Neodiprion lecontei: one gene and its partner. The protein of the gene in region 2 binds, or shares a complex with, the protein of the main gene of each other region. Links are inferred from orthologs where the notes say so. Each region holds a gene or a part of one and is shown on either strand. Other genes may lie near its edges.

What was found.
Region 1: mitochondrial import inner membrane translocase subunit Tim29 (region 2) and mitochondrial import inner membrane translocase subunit Tim10 B share a complex: the UniProt entries of both Homo sapiens proteins name them as parts of the TIM22 complex. The link is inferred for Neodiprion lecontei from reciprocal best matches to the Homo sapiens genes TIMM29 and TIMM10B.

Annotation. Positions count from the first base shown.
Region 1 is NC_060263.1:26,785,583-26,795,312, reverse strand, and holds mitochondrial import inner membrane translocase subunit Tim10 B, read right to left. Parts: upstream 6,574-9,730; 5' UTR 6,275-6,573; coding exon 6,173-6,274; exon of another isoform or gene 6,055-6,172; coding exon of another isoform or gene 6,031-6,054; intron 5,909-6,030; coding exon 5,813-5,908; intron 5,643-5,812; coding exon 5,427-5,642; 3' UTR 2,657-5,426; downstream 1-2,656. Other genes in the region: UTP--glucose-1-phosphate uridylyltransferase, read right to left, coding at 7,372-7,584, 7,940-8,106, 8,323-8,460, 8,539-8,677, 8,810-8,956, 9,064-9,139, 9,684-9,730. UniProt on the Homo sapiens protein: Component of the TIM22 complex, a complex that mediates the import and insertion of multi-pass transmembrane proteins into the mitochondrial inner membrane.
Region 2 is NC_060264.1:30,474,963-30,482,398, reverse strand, and holds mitochondrial import inner membrane translocase subunit Tim29, read right to left. Parts: upstream 3,612-7,436; 5' UTR 3,419-3,611; coding exon 3,277-3,418; intron 3,091-3,276; coding exon 2,989-3,090; intron 2,680-2,988; coding exon 2,270-2,679; 3' UTR 2,153-2,269; downstream 1-2,152. Other genes in the region: UBX domain-containing protein 7, read right to left, coding at 1-48, 203-477, 738-995, 1,436-1,475; uncharacterized protein LOC124294430, read left to right, coding at 3,998-4,019, 4,305-4,486, 4,616-4,721, 4,828-4,896, 5,049-7,176, 7,318-7,436. UniProt on the Homo sapiens protein: Component of the TIM22 complex, a complex that mediates the import and insertion of multi-pass transmembrane proteins into the mitochondrial inner membrane.

The DNA of each region.
Region 1 (9,730 bases), on a different chromosome or scaffold from region 2:
TAATAAAATACAAATGTTTCCCCAGCATGACGTTCTTTGTAGTGGTGGTATTACAGTCCATGTACGGTTGTATACTTTGAACATTTATGTAGCCAACATCACATTATTATTTATGACATTGAATAATAAAAATCACGTTGTACTTTATTCCAACTACTGATTGTAAATGATATCAACCTGCTTTCGAACAGTTTATATCTAAATTTCTATTAATATAGTGATGTCACAATTTTATAAATGGAAACTGAGAACTGATATAATATTTATGCGTACCCCAAGTTATAATCACATGTTTCATATAATTTCCAGGGTTGGAAACGTCCGATTGTTATGCCTATGATGAGATATCTACATCAGCATTCCTCGTGCCAGACAATGAGATATATTCTCGTTTGCCAGACCCTTTTAGTTGAAGGGAAAGCTGTGCCATATACCATGCAGTAAGGTCCAATGATACATATAGGTTAAAAAATATAAAACTTAAAATAATATCTGGAACACAAGTGAATTCTATTTTAATTTGACATGAAATTATTCATGTCACAATTATCAATAATCTTGAATTCACCGTTCCAAGCCATAACATGCTATGCTCATATCTTGAACTAGTATTTCAGGTTGGTAACTGAACCTGTAACTTTTGAAGTGGTGAAATATGATGAGGATACTTTGCTAGGTATGCAAGGATTTACAACAGAAAATAGTGTACAATTTCCAACTTTAAAATTAAATTTTTTCAAGTGACTAGAACTATCAGCAAGACACATTGTAAAAAGGATTAAATATTTAAACCTGAATAATCGACAATTCTAAAATCTGATGTCTTAAAAATCATGACATTCAATATACCTCGGGTACGATATATTTTAATAAATGACAATAGTAATGCTTAATGACGTGATAATAATGATCTATATCTCTGTAATCTTTTTTATTTTGTGTCTGTTGCAACTTGGTGTATTTGTTCTTGCTCTACATTTCTATTGTGATAAAAAAAATAGCGCATGAAACATTGATTATATTATTTTGGATGCATTAGTAATGATATTATATTACTGAATTTTTTTTAGATCTTGCCTGGCCATTTTCTTCTAATCTGTTGCGATCATGAGTGATAAAATAATCAGACCATTTACTTATAGTCCGGTCAATTTAGACATAAAAATAGTGATCGAACCACAATAATTCCGACAAAGCTGAACTTTGGTAGAGACCTTGGGTTTACCATTATAAAGAAAAACAAAAAAGTCCCCATCGATACCATGTGGCTAAAAAAGTTATTCAAGGTCAAAGGTCAAAATTTTTGGTTTTTTCGATTTTTCTCGTTAACGGTTAATTTTATCAAAAAAATAGCTTAAACCAAAATTGTAGATCATAAAATTATCCACAAAAATGGTCTCTATACTTTTTTTCCTAAGAATCATCATTTCTGAGATATCGCGATTCTGAAAGTCGAACGAGTTACATTCTATATAATATGCACGCATATTATATATGTCACGGATATACACAGTATATGTATAGTATATACAGTGTATATACATAGTGTATATATAGTATATATTATAATATATATATATATATAGTATATATACTGATATACTTAGTATATATACAGTATATATTAGACTGCCTCAAAAAACAAAAACTATTTTTTTTTTCGATCTCCAGCTTCATGAAATCATAGTTTATAACATAATGTTGAACCTCGTGAAAGGAAATCGCCGTGCCATTTTTTTAAGAGGTGCGACATCGAGATTTTGTAATTCCCATTTGATTAATACGTAAGAAATCCAATTCTGACGGTTGGAGAGAGATAATAATTTTTCTATGCAACGAACGGAACGCTATATAGTAGCGCTCGACAGTTTATATGTTTTCTTCGAATTGCCGTGTCGGAGAAATTTTTTGATCGCACGATCTTCGAGTGATTCAACATTGCGTAAAACGTGGTTTTTCGCCTTTTCGAAAAATGGGTACCTAGGATAAACTCCCAGCTTCCTCAACTGGATCACATTACAATGTTGAATAATATCCGTCAAATACATTCGAAGAAAACATATAAACTGTCAAGCACTACTATATAGAGTTCTGTTCATTGCATAGAAAAATTATTATCTCCCTCCAACCGTCAGAATTGAATTTCTTACGTATTAATCAAATGGGAATTACAAAATCTCGATGTCGCACCTCTTAAAAAAATCGCACGGCGATTTCCTTTCACGAGGTTCAATATTATGTTATAAACTACGATTTCATGAAGCCGGAGATCGAAAAAAAAAATTGTTTTTTCTTTCTTAGGCAGTCTAATATATACTGTATATATTCTAACTATATCAGTGTATATACTATACATATATATTATAATATATACTATATATACACTGTATATACTATACATATACTATGTATATCCGTGACATATATAATATGCGTGCATATTATATAGAATGTAACTCGTTCGACTTTCAGAATCGCGATATCTCAGAAATGATGATTCTTAGGAAAAAAAAGTATAGAGACCATTTTTGTGGATAATTTTATGATCTACAATTTTGGTTTAAGCTATTTTTTTGATAAAATTAACCGTTAACGAGAAAAATCGAAAAAACCAAAAATTTTGACCTTTGACCTTGAATAACTTTTTTAGCACACATGGTATCGATGGGGAATTTTTTATCTTTCTTTATAATGGTAAACCCAAGGTCTCTACCAAAGTTCAGCTCTGTCGGAATTATTGTGATTCGAAATGTCTAAATTGACCGGACTATTAAATGAAGACCCGAGAGCTTCATATGTATTCCACACGGTATTCACCTTTAATTAGTTAAGTAGTTGAATGTGGTACATTTTATTTACGAAAAAAAAAAATTGAGAAACTTACGTCGATAAGATTAGATAGAATCGTTGGTAGATTCGAAAGTACATGTTAAAATAGGGCCTAGTCATTAAATATTAGGATATTTACTGAAAAATAGAAAATAAAATTCGGCTGAGACAATGACATACTTATACAAGAGTAATATAGATGGGAAAAATGAATTTGAGTACAGAAGTTTTGCAACGTTGATTATCCTGCTTTAATTTTTCACCCAGCTTTACTATTTAATGAATAAAAATATACTACAGCACTCATATGGCAATGGTTGACACGATAAAATTGCGGATATCAACTTTGTAGACAAGAATGCAAATACGTCTGTATTTGTACATAATCAGAACTGAAATTTCGTTTAGAAAAAAATCGTTTATATTTACTTATAATCAGAAAAAGAGAACAAAATCTATTAAAAAAGTACACAATATTGTTTACTGGAGTACGAAACTTGTGATTAGGCCTGTTATATATACATAAGTGTATTTGAATAACTTGTCACTTGACAATATAAGTAGACAATACAAATACAAAATATACTCATATATTTTGGGTAAAAATGCTAATATTGCTGATGAGTATGTGTTGTCAAAAATTAGTCTGCTAACTCCTGTGATTTTTTATATTTTTAATGATTGTTAATTTTTATTTATATACTTTCCATTACCAGTAGGAGTGCTGTATAGGATATTTATATAAAAAATCAAACGCTTATTAAGTTTAATTTTAACACTGCATTACAGGTATGTGAATGCAAATGGGCGAGCTTATAAAAAATATTTTAAGTAATTTCGAGTACTTATAGATTTGCAGGCAAATAATAATTATTTATTATTTTCATAGGCATGTGAAGTTAATTTATTCATTCACATTTTGGCAGGTAAAGAAGTGATTCTAATATCGTGAAACCAATTTGTATATCAATGCCATACACATTAAATTCATTCCTTTAACATGGCAACGCAATTATTCATGAAATACGAGAAATAAATGCTTGAGTGATGGAAATTACAAGTACGTCAAAAGAATAATGTTTCTAAATCATTGAAGCACTCGATATACCTGGTTTTTTAATCGGTCCCCTTTTGTTACATGCAATAGATTCCTATCTGTAATTTACGCGATTTCAATTGAATTTGCTTTGCTAAGAAAAAATGTAAAGTTGCATTCCTAATTACGATTACTTGATGTACAGACTGAAATGTCGCTGATCTCATACACATCACAGGTACATTATGTAGACCATTGCACATATAGTAATTTGTGTAACCACGTCTGCTGTCACATGGGTTTTAAAACTGTTAGTGTTCCACACCAGTATTTGTGACAGCTTTAGATGTGAATCTGTGACAATGTCGAAAAAAAAAAAAAAAAAATGGGGGAAAGTAGTAGTTTCAGAAAGCAGTATGTTATTACGTCAGATCTTAGAGATATTTTGACGTTTGAATTGAACAATCAAAATGATATTTACTACAAGCTTGTGTGAGCATTTTAAAATTTTAAAACACTATTACTTTCAAATGCAACAATATCATTTTGCTTGGTTCATGCTATAATTTTTAGCAAATTGACGACAGAGAACCGTTAAACTTTAAAACAGTGTATTGAGGCAATATATTGTAGTCGTGTTCTGATATTATAACAAAACTGTAATAATATTATTCGTATATATACATATACATACATACCGTATTCTGTATATACACACATTTTCAATAATAAATCAATGCTTATGTAATATGTACGGCCCTGTATTATTATTTAAACTAATTGGCTTATTATTTTTTAACAGTAGGATGGTCAGACTGAAAAATTTCAACTAATTACTTACCTAGAATCACTTGAAAAGTAATGTTATAATATTCAATGTTCCTTGCAAATATGTATTAATTAAGACGAAACTGGTCTTTGCTTTGTTTACATTTTGATTTCCAATCTTAGCAAGATGATATATCACAACTTATGTAGAAAATCTAATAAACTGAATACTTGTACTTTTGCCATTCACTCATTCTCAAAATCTGAAATGCAAAGAACCAGAGAATATGGTAAGAAAAATATGTACATACAATTACACAATGCAAAGGTTGAATGAACAAATTCAGTTTTTATACGTTGAAAATATTTACAGAGTAGTTAACTATGATTACACTCCCAACCGCTGCATACAACAGGAGGAAGACGTATTACATATTGCTTGCAAAACAATCTTGCTGCTACCAGCTTGCTGTAAGAAAGACGTTCCTGAGAGGATATCTGTTTCAAATGACTGCCATTACGAAGCGCATAATAAGGAGAGCCATGAATTGAAAAATGCTGGTCCTTAAGGAATCCTTGAATCATAAAAGACCTGTACCAACAATCAGTATGACAAAGAGGCTCAAAGCAATCTTATTTTGACCCTATTGCCAAACAAGGAACAGCTGAGCAACATAACACACCCTGACAATATTGAAAAGGTGAACAGCATAAAGTAAAATAAATATATCATATTATAAAATAATGTAATATAAAATATTAAATAACATAAAACGAAAGGCTAAATTGTGGGTCAGACCAGTGGCTGACTTTGTCGTAAATTTTGACTAGTTTCTGTGTCTTGGGTGTCTTGCTGCAGTTGTTGCTGCTGTGCCATAGCTGCAGCTTGAGCAGCATTCATTTCTTCTGTCCTTTTATTCATTAAAACAGGTAGTACCTCCATATAGACTTTCATCATTTTGGTATTCGCTTTTACATGCTTCTGGGCACAGTTATTTACACAAGCTTCCTATGGCATTACAAATAAATAGTTATTCTCAATACATGCTGCAAAGATATGTATGTGTAATGAATATACATAATATTGGAAAGCTGCAAGTATTTTTATATGGTGTAAAAAGAACTGAAATCTGAATCTTATCCAAAATTCAGAAAACATTCACCGATCGATCATCTCACCTCATCCACATCCATGTCTCTGGAATTGTATGTATTTGTACATCGTTTGAAGCATGTGTCAGATATTTGATTGTAGAGCGTAAGGAAATCCTTGAACTGCAATAAAAATTATTCAAATAATGTCAATTCTGTGTTATGGTAGAGCGCGATAAGAATTGCTTATGAAGTAAATAGAAGCAGCATTCAATTGATGACAAATTATAACAGAAAATACAAACATTTCTTATCTCCCTTAAATCCATGTTTTGGTGAATAAATTTATCACGGCCTCCACTACTAAATTATGAATTACAAATAATAATGAGTCTTGAGATTTAAATTCATGAACGGAATTCTCGTCATGCAACATAACCTACATACATAACTCACTGTCCTGATTTTCTGCGTGAGCATTTTCAACAAGTAGGAAAAGGAAAGGAGACATAACTCCGTACTCTTTTCGACGGCAAACGTGAGACACATTTGGTTGGAAATTCGTAGTACCGATAACGCCGCGCAGCGCTGGTTTCGTCTGTTGCATGGGAAATTTGAACGCGCTATATGTGTGCACAATTTTTAAATAATATCCCTCTTCCCGTTACGGCTCCGCCCGCTAATATTTTTAAATGCTTTTTGTGGCGAGATTATAAGACATAACCATTGTGAAGCTCATAGAGATTTTTGAAAACTCTTGAGCCTAACTTTCCTCCATATAAGAGTTTAATCAGAGCTTTCACAAGTGTATGATCCCGTTCAGACTTAGCTTACAAATATTGTTATATCTTCAAAACGATCGATCTGGTTGTAACAAAATATGTCTTAAAACCTGGTCAGACGTTGTAGTTATCCACAGAAAAAAGGAATCAAAATCGGGGGAGTTTATAAGCCAATATACGGATAGCAGAGAAATAGAGCGAAGTTGAATTTTACGTATGTATGTATGTACAACAAACAAATATTAAAAATACTAGAAATTTCTGTCTATTACTCACGAAGAACATATTTCTAGATGAATACGCCACTGCAGTTACAAACATACACATGCTAAGTGTTCATGCTAACAACCCGATGAAACATCCAGTGAATCGGAACGACTTGGGCCCTGAAGTTTGCACCTGGATATTCATGACGGCAATTTTTCGTTGAAATAACATTTGTATGTTCCAAAGCACGTAAGAAATTGGAATACAAGGAATTTACAGTAAATATTATTCCGATTTTGTTTTTTCATTATAAGTAATATCTTGCCTGTATGTGGTATTTTTAATGTCCATTCAAGTGTTCAGAATTAGTGCTTCCGATGATCTCTGAGTTAATATTTTCATTCTTAAATTTTGTATATGTACATAAATACTATACATATACATATAATAAGATAAAGCTAAACTTACAAATTGCAACAATAAGTAACGAATAAAATTAGACCACTAAAACTTATTCAGCGAGGGTATAATTAATTATCATTACACATTTTGTACACATTTTTTTGCTAATCTTAGGCCTAGTGTATATGTATATATATATATACACCCACACACAAGACTTTGTGCATGTGATGAACAAACTTGATATACCATAAACTAATGATCCAAAATACGTAGATTTCCGGATACAATTTTATTTTCTAAAATAGTTCCCGAAGGTATGTCGATACGGTCTCCATGATTTGCTATAATAATAACTGTGCCTTTGAGAGAAACTCCTTTTCCAAATGTAACATCGCCGGATACAGTTAGATGATCCAGTTCTAAGAGATCTGGGATTGAGGCAAACCTACGTAGATACTCTTTTACCTGAAAAAATTAATAATAATTAGAATACGTGAAGTGTAATCAGGATTATTGGTTTATCTCTTATAGAATTCCTAAAGTAACAAAGCTTGCAACACGTGCGGAACAAATGAAAAAAATACAATTTTCCGCGAGCATCACAACCTTGCGTCGATTATGGTATTTCAATGCTTCAAGTATTATTCTAATTAGCTAACAATAATCTGGGCACAAACGTCATAAACGTTGGTATTTGTGAATCAATTACGTATTGATTCCTGGTTTTAATAGACTTGTAATTTGTTCCTCACTTTTAGAGAACTGTTAAATTTAAAATATAGCTCACATAGACAGCTATCTTATGAGATAATAATAGCACCTTTGAAAAGTGATTATCGCCAAGTTTGATGAGTGGAGTAGTTGGAAACATCCGCTGGGGACTCATGAGGAGAGCTCCTTTGCGTAAACTGTATAAGTTACTCATCACCAACATGAGATCAGAGGTCTTTTTCACAGGTAAGAATCTGCTACGTGGTACGTTGATGCCTATAGATCAGAGAAAAAAAAAAATTAAAAAATTAGCATTATATGAAAGTAGTCTAAATTTCTATAAAGATTTTTCGAAACAGTTAAGGAATTTGTTTGAAACTTTCAAATGGTTGGCATTTTTTGCTTGGATAGAGTATTTATTACAGAGTTAATGTACAGTTAAGAAATAGTTTAGCATAATTTTATTTGACTGCAAGTATTGGGTGAACTCACCAAGACCTCCATCAAAGGATTTCATAGCTGCACCTACAGCTGTTTCTAGTTGAATAACGTTCAAACCATTACTCAAGCTTTTGTTATTCACAATAATTTCCATGTTGAGTGTTTTTTCTTCTAAGACTCTCTCAATAGCTGCAAGAAATAATGTTCGCAATTGAAACTAGCTAATGAACAATTTCATAAATTCTGAATAGCGTGTTCCGTGCTTACCAGTGAGGCTGACCCATAAGTTGTTGGTATTGAAAAATTTGAAAGTCTTCACAGATTTAAAATCATCAACATGCTCTTTTGGTACTTGAGCTATTTCAAGCAGTCGTAGCTTGTCCTCGTATTGGATTAAGGTACCACCCTAAATAAATAACACATATTGAAGTTATCATTCGATACATTTTGACTTCATTTAGACCGCAAAATATAAGTAAGGTTTGTGGAAGTATCAACCTTTTTTCACGATGTTTTTTAATCATTCCGTAGACATTACCTTAACGTCAGCTCTAGTTTTATTGGTGACCTCCATCACGAATTCTGGTGAAATTACATCTTTGGAATTAAGCAGCAGATTTAAAATATTGAGATCTACAGTGGCACCCAAGTTATCGATGTTAGAAATGAAACAATATTTGCGACCCTAAAATAGAGATGGAACTATTACATATACTGCGACATGTGGAATTCAAAAGTTTTGAGCATAAAATAAATATCATACGAATTATCATTGTAACAATATTACATTACCTGTTGAATGAACTTATTTAGCAGTCCAGAGTTTTGGAAACTTTCATAGAAATCACCGTGACCAGGTGGATACCATCTATAAATTGCAAATTGAAGTAAGTGATCAGCAAACATGTAAATCAAATGGAAATTATTGCAGAGCCCTACAGCAGATTAACAGAATATAATGTTTATTGATTTCTCGACCTTATCGTGAATTGCTGTGCAGAGATTCTCGGTATCAAAGGTCAGTAAGTCAAAAAAACATTTTTCACATTTCGGCTCTGAAGGGGACCCTCCTCAGAAAAGCTAAAATATTTCTTCAACGCATTATTATAATATTTTTTATAAATTGTGGTTGAATGTTTATATATAAGTATTATGATAATGTGTTGAATAAATATTTTAGTCTTTCTGAGGAGGGCCCCGCTCTCAAAGCCTAACTGTGAAAAATGTGTTTTTGACTTACTGACCTTTGAAACTGAGAATTTCTACACCTAACAGGATATACTTCATTGGCTTTATAGACACGTGCCAAATGAATATGTTACCTCGAATTAAAATTCAATAACAATCAAACCGCCGGTACAAATTTGATGTCTGCGGGTGTGAATTATTTGCATATCAAATGAAAAACTTACGATTCAATGTCTTGATCGATATTGCAGTTCTTTCCAATAGGTAGCAG
Region 2 (7,436 bases):
ATTGTAGAAGTCGATGAAGCGTTGACCGTCAGATGTGTTAGATATGACCTGAGGATATGGCAAACGCTAGTTACACATGAGTAGAAAATTAAAGGCCGTTACTGGATCTACATATATATAATATTTCTTTTTCTCTGTTACCGATGGAAGGTCAAGTATGAGTTAAATTTCCTAATAATAAGTATGCGATCGATATAATTACCTGCCACAGAACGAAATGGTCCCTGACCATATCCCTGATCTGCTCATTGGGCCACAGGTCTCTGTTAAGTATTTGGCATGAGAATTCAAGTGGATTTTGTACATTAACAAGAAGCCATCGGTTTATGAGCTTCGCATGTTCCCTAGCCTCGATGAATGATCCCAAAAACATGATGTCGTAAGGGGGTCTGAAGAGGTCTTCCAGGCGCTTGGACTTCCTTGGTGACATTTTTTTCACCCCTGTTACCCTCCGCGCCATTTCCTCCTCCTGGCGTTCTGGCATCAGTTAATTCATTCAATTTAAACATCGCATATTAGCTTGAAACTCACTTGAATCCATGTAACTCAAAAGGAAACTCTAAAAATTGATGTTTCACGCCGATTCTCAGCATCAAGATGATATTTGCATCGCGTATTACAAACATATCTTGCATAAACTTTTTGGTAATTAAAAAGTACGATGAAATAAGGTAAGCCGACGCCGATTTATAAGGATAAAAAGCCGTCCCGGTTATCGAGAGCCTCTTGTTCCTTACGTGTTTCTACCGCAAAGTCCCTAAATCTATCAAACACACTGTTCGATGCTCTGGGGAACGCACAGACGGGCTGTGTTGGTACCAACACTTCTCGAGTAGGTAGAATTGGCGGCCTGATCTCTGGTTCTGGGGGTTCAGTTTGACCGTCTACGTCTGCTACTGCCTCTGCTCCGCCACCTTCAAACATCAGGCTAATAGCAGTCTCTACATTGCCGTCAGCCACCACGAGGTACTGTCTGGCGACAGCCTCGCTGGATCCTGGAATTTGGAAAAAATGTTCTCATGAAAGAGAGGGAAGAAAATAATTTGAAACCAAATTAGGTTAGGTTAACACAAAAAGGGCAGTATTGGATAAAGTTAGGTTAGATGAATGAATCAAAGTGAGGAAAACTTGGGAAACTCAAGATTAGGTCAGATGAGATCAAGGTCAGCTAGGGTGAATTGAAATAAAACCCATGGTAAATGTGTTATGCTGGTAAGGCTAGTAAAATGGGTAGAATATTACTGTAATACAATTCTTTGGAAATAAACATTTCAATGTGAAGTAAAACAGAGAAACGGACTCCTGCATTCTTTGTTTACCGATTCAACTGTTCGTACAGTCACATTGAAGCATTGAATTTGTGTTAACGGCAAAATATAGAACTGAGTATAATGAAATTGATATTTCAATTATTACTGTTCGCTTTTGGGCTAACCTGTGACTTCGATGAATTTTTCAATCAGTTCGCGATCCATCCTGTTACAACATCAAGCTCTAGTTTTGGATTCTATATCTGTTATTCGCCGATTGTTGTATGAGAAAACAAAATCGTCTTCGTGTTTGTTTGAAATTTCGGTGGTACAAGAACGCTTCCCTTGAATATTAAATCCGGTATCGTTTCACGGTCGCGGATCGATGCGATTTCGAATCCAGATTTTGAATTCTTGAACTTTTACCGAATTTTATAACAGCCACGGATCACTGCGGCTGTCAACCGGCATTAGCTATTTTGTCTTCAGCTTTCCTCTCCTCTCTCTATCTCCCGCTGCGCAACCGTTGCCACAATCGATCATGGACCATGAATATTCTCATAAGAAGGTAACTCTGTTGGGATTTTTTACACCGTTCATGAAATTAGATGAGACTTTTGACGAGAGTTGGACAATTCATTGAAAATATCTTGAAATAACGTTTTCATTTCAACTACCTTCACGCGAGTTTTTGATTAGATCTAACAGAATAGGCCAATAATAGTAAATTATTTACAACTTTATCAGAAATTAATGAATTCGAAGCATTCGAATCTTTTTCAAGCGCAGTATTCCGCCACGTTCTTTTTCCATCATCTTGTAATATAATTCTCTAATAAATTCCAGCTTTCGATCCCAAAGTATCAATAGTGCATATATAAGTTTAAAAAAATTTACCATACTTGTGTGTGAAGGCACATTTATTCAATGAATAAACCTTCTATATGTACATATGTATAAATACTATTATAATAATTAATATTTGTAATTTTATCCGTCAATAATATTCGATATTCTCATTATGAGCCGATTTTATCTGGCGAAGTGGAGAAGTTTTTAAATTCCTCTTCATTTATATCAAAATCAGTCATTTTGTCCTCCAGTAGCCACCACTTATCCATGAAACCAATGTCAACTATTCTGTGATGAAATCCTAAATACTGTGGTTTGAGATACGAACATGTTGCTTTGTAGTGAGCACATTCTTTATCGTAGTTATCCAACCATATAAAAGAAACAATCCCCAAGCTCAACCTGCGTATGATCCCTTCATTGAAGCACTGTTCTATCGATTTCAAATGCCTTACACTTTGACGATTCCGAATTGGTTCTCCAACCATCATCATCTTGTTTGATTCTTCTATCAACATGTTTCTGTACGAATCTGGACTAGGGTTGTGTCGTGAAAAGTAGTATACACTGCCTAGAACTGAAACATAAACCAATTCACACGAAAATTTCATACCGAATACAGAACATTTACTGGCTCCTCTGACTCTAAATAAATATATTTTTCTTTTGTATTTTTGGTTTGATTCACTGCAATAATTAGTGTTATCTGCACTAATGATGAGCAGCTATAGTGGGCTTAAACATGTATTTTTATGAGCTGCGAATCCTTTACAAAGAAGTATAGTGATACATCTAAGATCATAAAGATAAAGAAAAAAAAACTAAGTTGTCTCTCATTCCAGCAGGTTTCACTGCGGGAAATTAAGAAATATGATTTTTCACTTACGAGAGAAATAGATTGAAGCACGAATAGGCCGATCCTTACATCCTTGTGCAACATCCTTAGCCACATCTCTGTAGTCAATGAAGAGATTCTTCCAATATTTTGCTACAATGAAAATAAAACAGGTGACAATTATCGAATGATTATCGAACAAGTTCGCATACTCTAAGCTAACACCCGATCTCCCTATATTCTGTGAATTGCTTCGTCAAATTTATATAAATATAATATAACCTGTAAATACCTAACCTAACTTAACCTCGAACAAAAATTAACATGACCTGTTCTTACCCCAACGATCTAGTAGCCGTTCCTTCACTTGCTCCGTCACTTCAGGATCCTTAGCTTTGCTTATCTCAGCTGAATTTGTACTATAGGTTTTAAAAAATTGTTTAAATCTATTACGGAATAAATGGGATATCCGAACCGCCATAGTTAGTTTACTGATCAACGAAGCGTGCGGCGATTGAATTTCGCTCACTGAAAAGTCACTCTCATTTAAATTCCATAATAAGAATAAGTTCTTAGTTAATGACAAAGCACGTGACGTTGAAAAATTCCTATTAATTAATAAATTGAGCCGAGGCGCGAAAGCATCGCGCTTGAGTAAAGTTGGAAAAATACGGCTACTAGCTTTCTTATCGTGAATTAAATAAGTCGTCTGCTCTGGTTTGGTAAGCGCGGGGACTTCCCATAAAGCATTGCGGAACGCGGATTAACTTTAAACATTTTGAACAAGGACGATAGTCGATCTATTTATTTGTTTCATTTTCTTCATTTATTTTCGAGCCCACGTTCAATTTTAACTTCACTCTTGAATACATGGGATTTTGACACTTACGGTTAAACAATAAATTGTCATCATATCATAATTCATTGCAAATTATTGCTCAACTTTAAATTGTCATATCAATTTCAATCTCGACTTAATTTTACGTGTTAATAACAAAGGATTATTTTCATCAATCATGTTTCTCTGACTAACTGCAATTCAATCAACATAATTTTCAAAATGGAGAGAATTAATGGAAAAGGTAATTTATAACTTTAGATTTTCTAACTAAAGCACCTGCGACACATTATCCTAGTCTTCTATGTCACAGCGTTTATCCCTATTTTATTTCTAAAATCTTCTCAACGATTTTTCTTTTCCTCAATTCCTCAATTAACGAAGCCTAGGAATGTTTCGACCCTTCCAATATTTGAAGAAAATTCAACATGAATAACATGTGCAAGTAATCAACTTTGAATCGTACAGCTCGAACAATTTTATGCATAGCTTAGTAGAGTAGACATTGACTCATTTTTTTTATTTTCAGACATGGTGCGCAGCAGATACGCAAAACTTCAGCCTATCACAGATAGAATCAATGGACTTCAAGATCCTTTTTACCATTGTAACGGACATGAAAATGAATTTTCTCGCAGCAATCTCAGCGTTAACTCTTACACTCTTCAGCTTCGATGTGATTTTCAGAACTTGCTACAGGAAAAAAGCAGGGTAAAAATGGAAGTAGAACTTACCTGCAAAACTAAGTGAAAGTATTGAATTTCCGACCACGAAATTCCTTTGTGCATCTAATTCTGTCTGTTTTTCATACACGGGTGTGTTTATGTTTTTTTGTTGTAGGTATCTAGGATGACTGAAAAATCTATGAGAGAAGAATTTTTTCAGACAAAAATGCCGGCAGCTCTTTTGAAACAGCGCGTTTCCTCTTTGGAAATAAGTCCAACTGGTAATTACACATAAAGACCAATTAATACACCTCTGGTTTTAAGATTAATCTCTGGTAAACATCAAGTATAGTAATTCCAAGTGATGATTATCTTTTCTTGTTTCAGAATTGCTTAAAAAACAGAAGAACCGCAAGCATCGAAATAAGGAGAAACCGTTTTTCTCATTACTTCTCAGTACGTAGAGACAACTATCATAACTTGTTAATTTCTTAGGTTCTTTCATTTCAACAAGTAGTGAAAATAAAAAAAAAAGTTAGGAAAATCCTTCAAAAAGTATAATGCTCTACAGCTTTTCGCTTTTCGGAAATATAGTTTGTCTTTTTCAGATCTCAAAGTAGAGCTATTGGACATCCTAAATTGCATTTTCTACGTACTGTGGTGTCCAATATACTACTTTGGAAAATTAATTCTGACAATTATAAGATCGGTTGCTTGCTTGCTGTGGAGTGTGTTGACGTTGTCGATATTCCGAGGTACAAGTGTGCCATACGATTCAAAAGAGCTGAAATTGGTGGTAAAGGAGCCAGAGCTCTTAGTGTTACCAGATATTACGGGTGATTCAAAACACCTCTCGACAGATGTGAAAAAATTACTGCCTCAACGAAGCAGTGATTTTCATTCCATCAGTAGCTCCGTTCCGCAGGGACTAAGAACCAGTGACGAAATCAGTCCGACAGAGATAGCGGATCATAAAAGCCTTAAGGATCTCTTATCTCCACAAAAGAAAGTCAATCTCTCTTTGAAAATGATTGATAAAATGAGAGTGGGGGACCAAATAAAAGGCAGTGGGTTCCAATTACAAAATGAAAATTATTATCCGTATTCTTCACACCACGAAAATGTAAGCAATGTTGGATTGAGCAGTGATTATTTGCCAGATAAATGTTCAGGCAAATTTTGTAACATTCAGGAATGTAGAAAGACGGGTGTCAAACAATACGAAGAACCATTGACTAGTTCAAAAGATGCCACTTCCAAGGGAGGCGAAAATGTTGTCGAATATAAACGACGGACACATTCCAAAAATTCACATCTCAGAAGTGAGTTTAGATTGTCTAAGAATCCTCAAATCAAGTTATCTCATGTTAAGAAATTTGAAAAAGAAAAACCAAACGAAGTTGAACCCCATAATTCAAAGTTTCGACTTGCTGATTACAATTCTTTGGATACAGTGAACACAGGTAAAGAGAGCTTAACGATATTGCTGACGAACTTGATAAGCAAAAAAGGTAAAAAGTCGAGGCTGCATTCCGTTCCTGTTCCATCTATTAGTTATATGTTGGAACAAAGACCTACAACTGAAAATAGAGAAGAATGTGAAGAAAGGGTAAAAAACAATCTGCTTGGATCTGAAATTCTACGTAGTAATGTGCAACAAGTCTCAGAGTTCAAGGGACAAGAAAGTAATGGATCAAAATCCTGCCTCGATGACAAAGGAGATCGGTCACAGACAAACGCTGCGGTAGTTCCTCCGCAAGTGTGTCAGGATAGAAAATTGACTACCCAGTCGGAGCATTCATGCATTGTGACGCACACAGATGATTTGGAGAATCGTAAATATGCAACGACAGTTTCAGATCATATAACGGAGATAAATGAGTTGGAGAAACAGAAAAGTAAGATACAATCTTTGACTCTGGAAAGTTCAGACAAGAGAATGTTGCAGTCTAAAGACATTATCGAAGGCCTTGAGAGGCTAACAGATCCAGTGGAATCATCAGGTCTCCTTATTGAACGAAAGGACTCGTTAAGAATTGCAAAGTATACCCAGCCAGTTGATGCAAAATCCAAATGGTTAGAAATAAAGAAAAAATTTTATGGAATAGATTACAACAGGACTGCGAAGCAGGAAGAGCCAAAGAAATTAGAATCCAAGAGTCTTGCACAAATAACATCGGTATCAAAACTCCCAGCACACAAGATATTTCAGTACAATATGCAAGTCGGAAGAGCAAGACAAATGGGCGCAGAGTCGTCTTCAACTGAGGGAATACTTTTGGAGAAAAATCTCACTTCGATCGGCATTGAGGGGGCAGTAGTTCCTGATCGGCTCGGAAGTAATGCATCACGGTGTCTGCAGCCAGTGGTTCAAACGCCTTGCCGATTATCTCACACTCAGTCGTTATCCCAGTGGCCATTAGGTTTCGATAATTCTCCTCTATTGAGGAAATATTTGCCAGAGCAAAAACCGAAACCAAAACCGAGAACTGAAGCAGGACTTATTCGTGGTCGTGTTACTGGTACGAATTGCAAAATATCGACTGCGACATCGACATGTATCAATTCTTCTGTTTCCACCTCCGATGTCACAGTATTGAGCCAGAAATACATGGGGAACCATAGATATGGCCTGAAAAGGGAAACAGATCGAAAAAAGGATAATCCACAAAATTTGCTACATATAAAGCCAAGCTGTAATGAAATGAGTCACTGTAACACTCCATTATTTATAGAGTAGGTACTTTTCGATTTTACAACTAACATTTAAGTATTAACAATGACCTAAGTTGATAAATCGTTGACAGCATTCACTGTAGTAACTGTCAAAAGCAAAACGATTGTTAATGTTCGATATTGATTGATTTTTTGGTACAGATTGACGCAGAGACATGAAACGTTGCAGAAAACTTCAAGACGGGATCATCTTTCACAGGTACAAAGCACTGCAGGTATAGTTTCGACGAATAATATTTATTCTTTGAATAACATTAAAG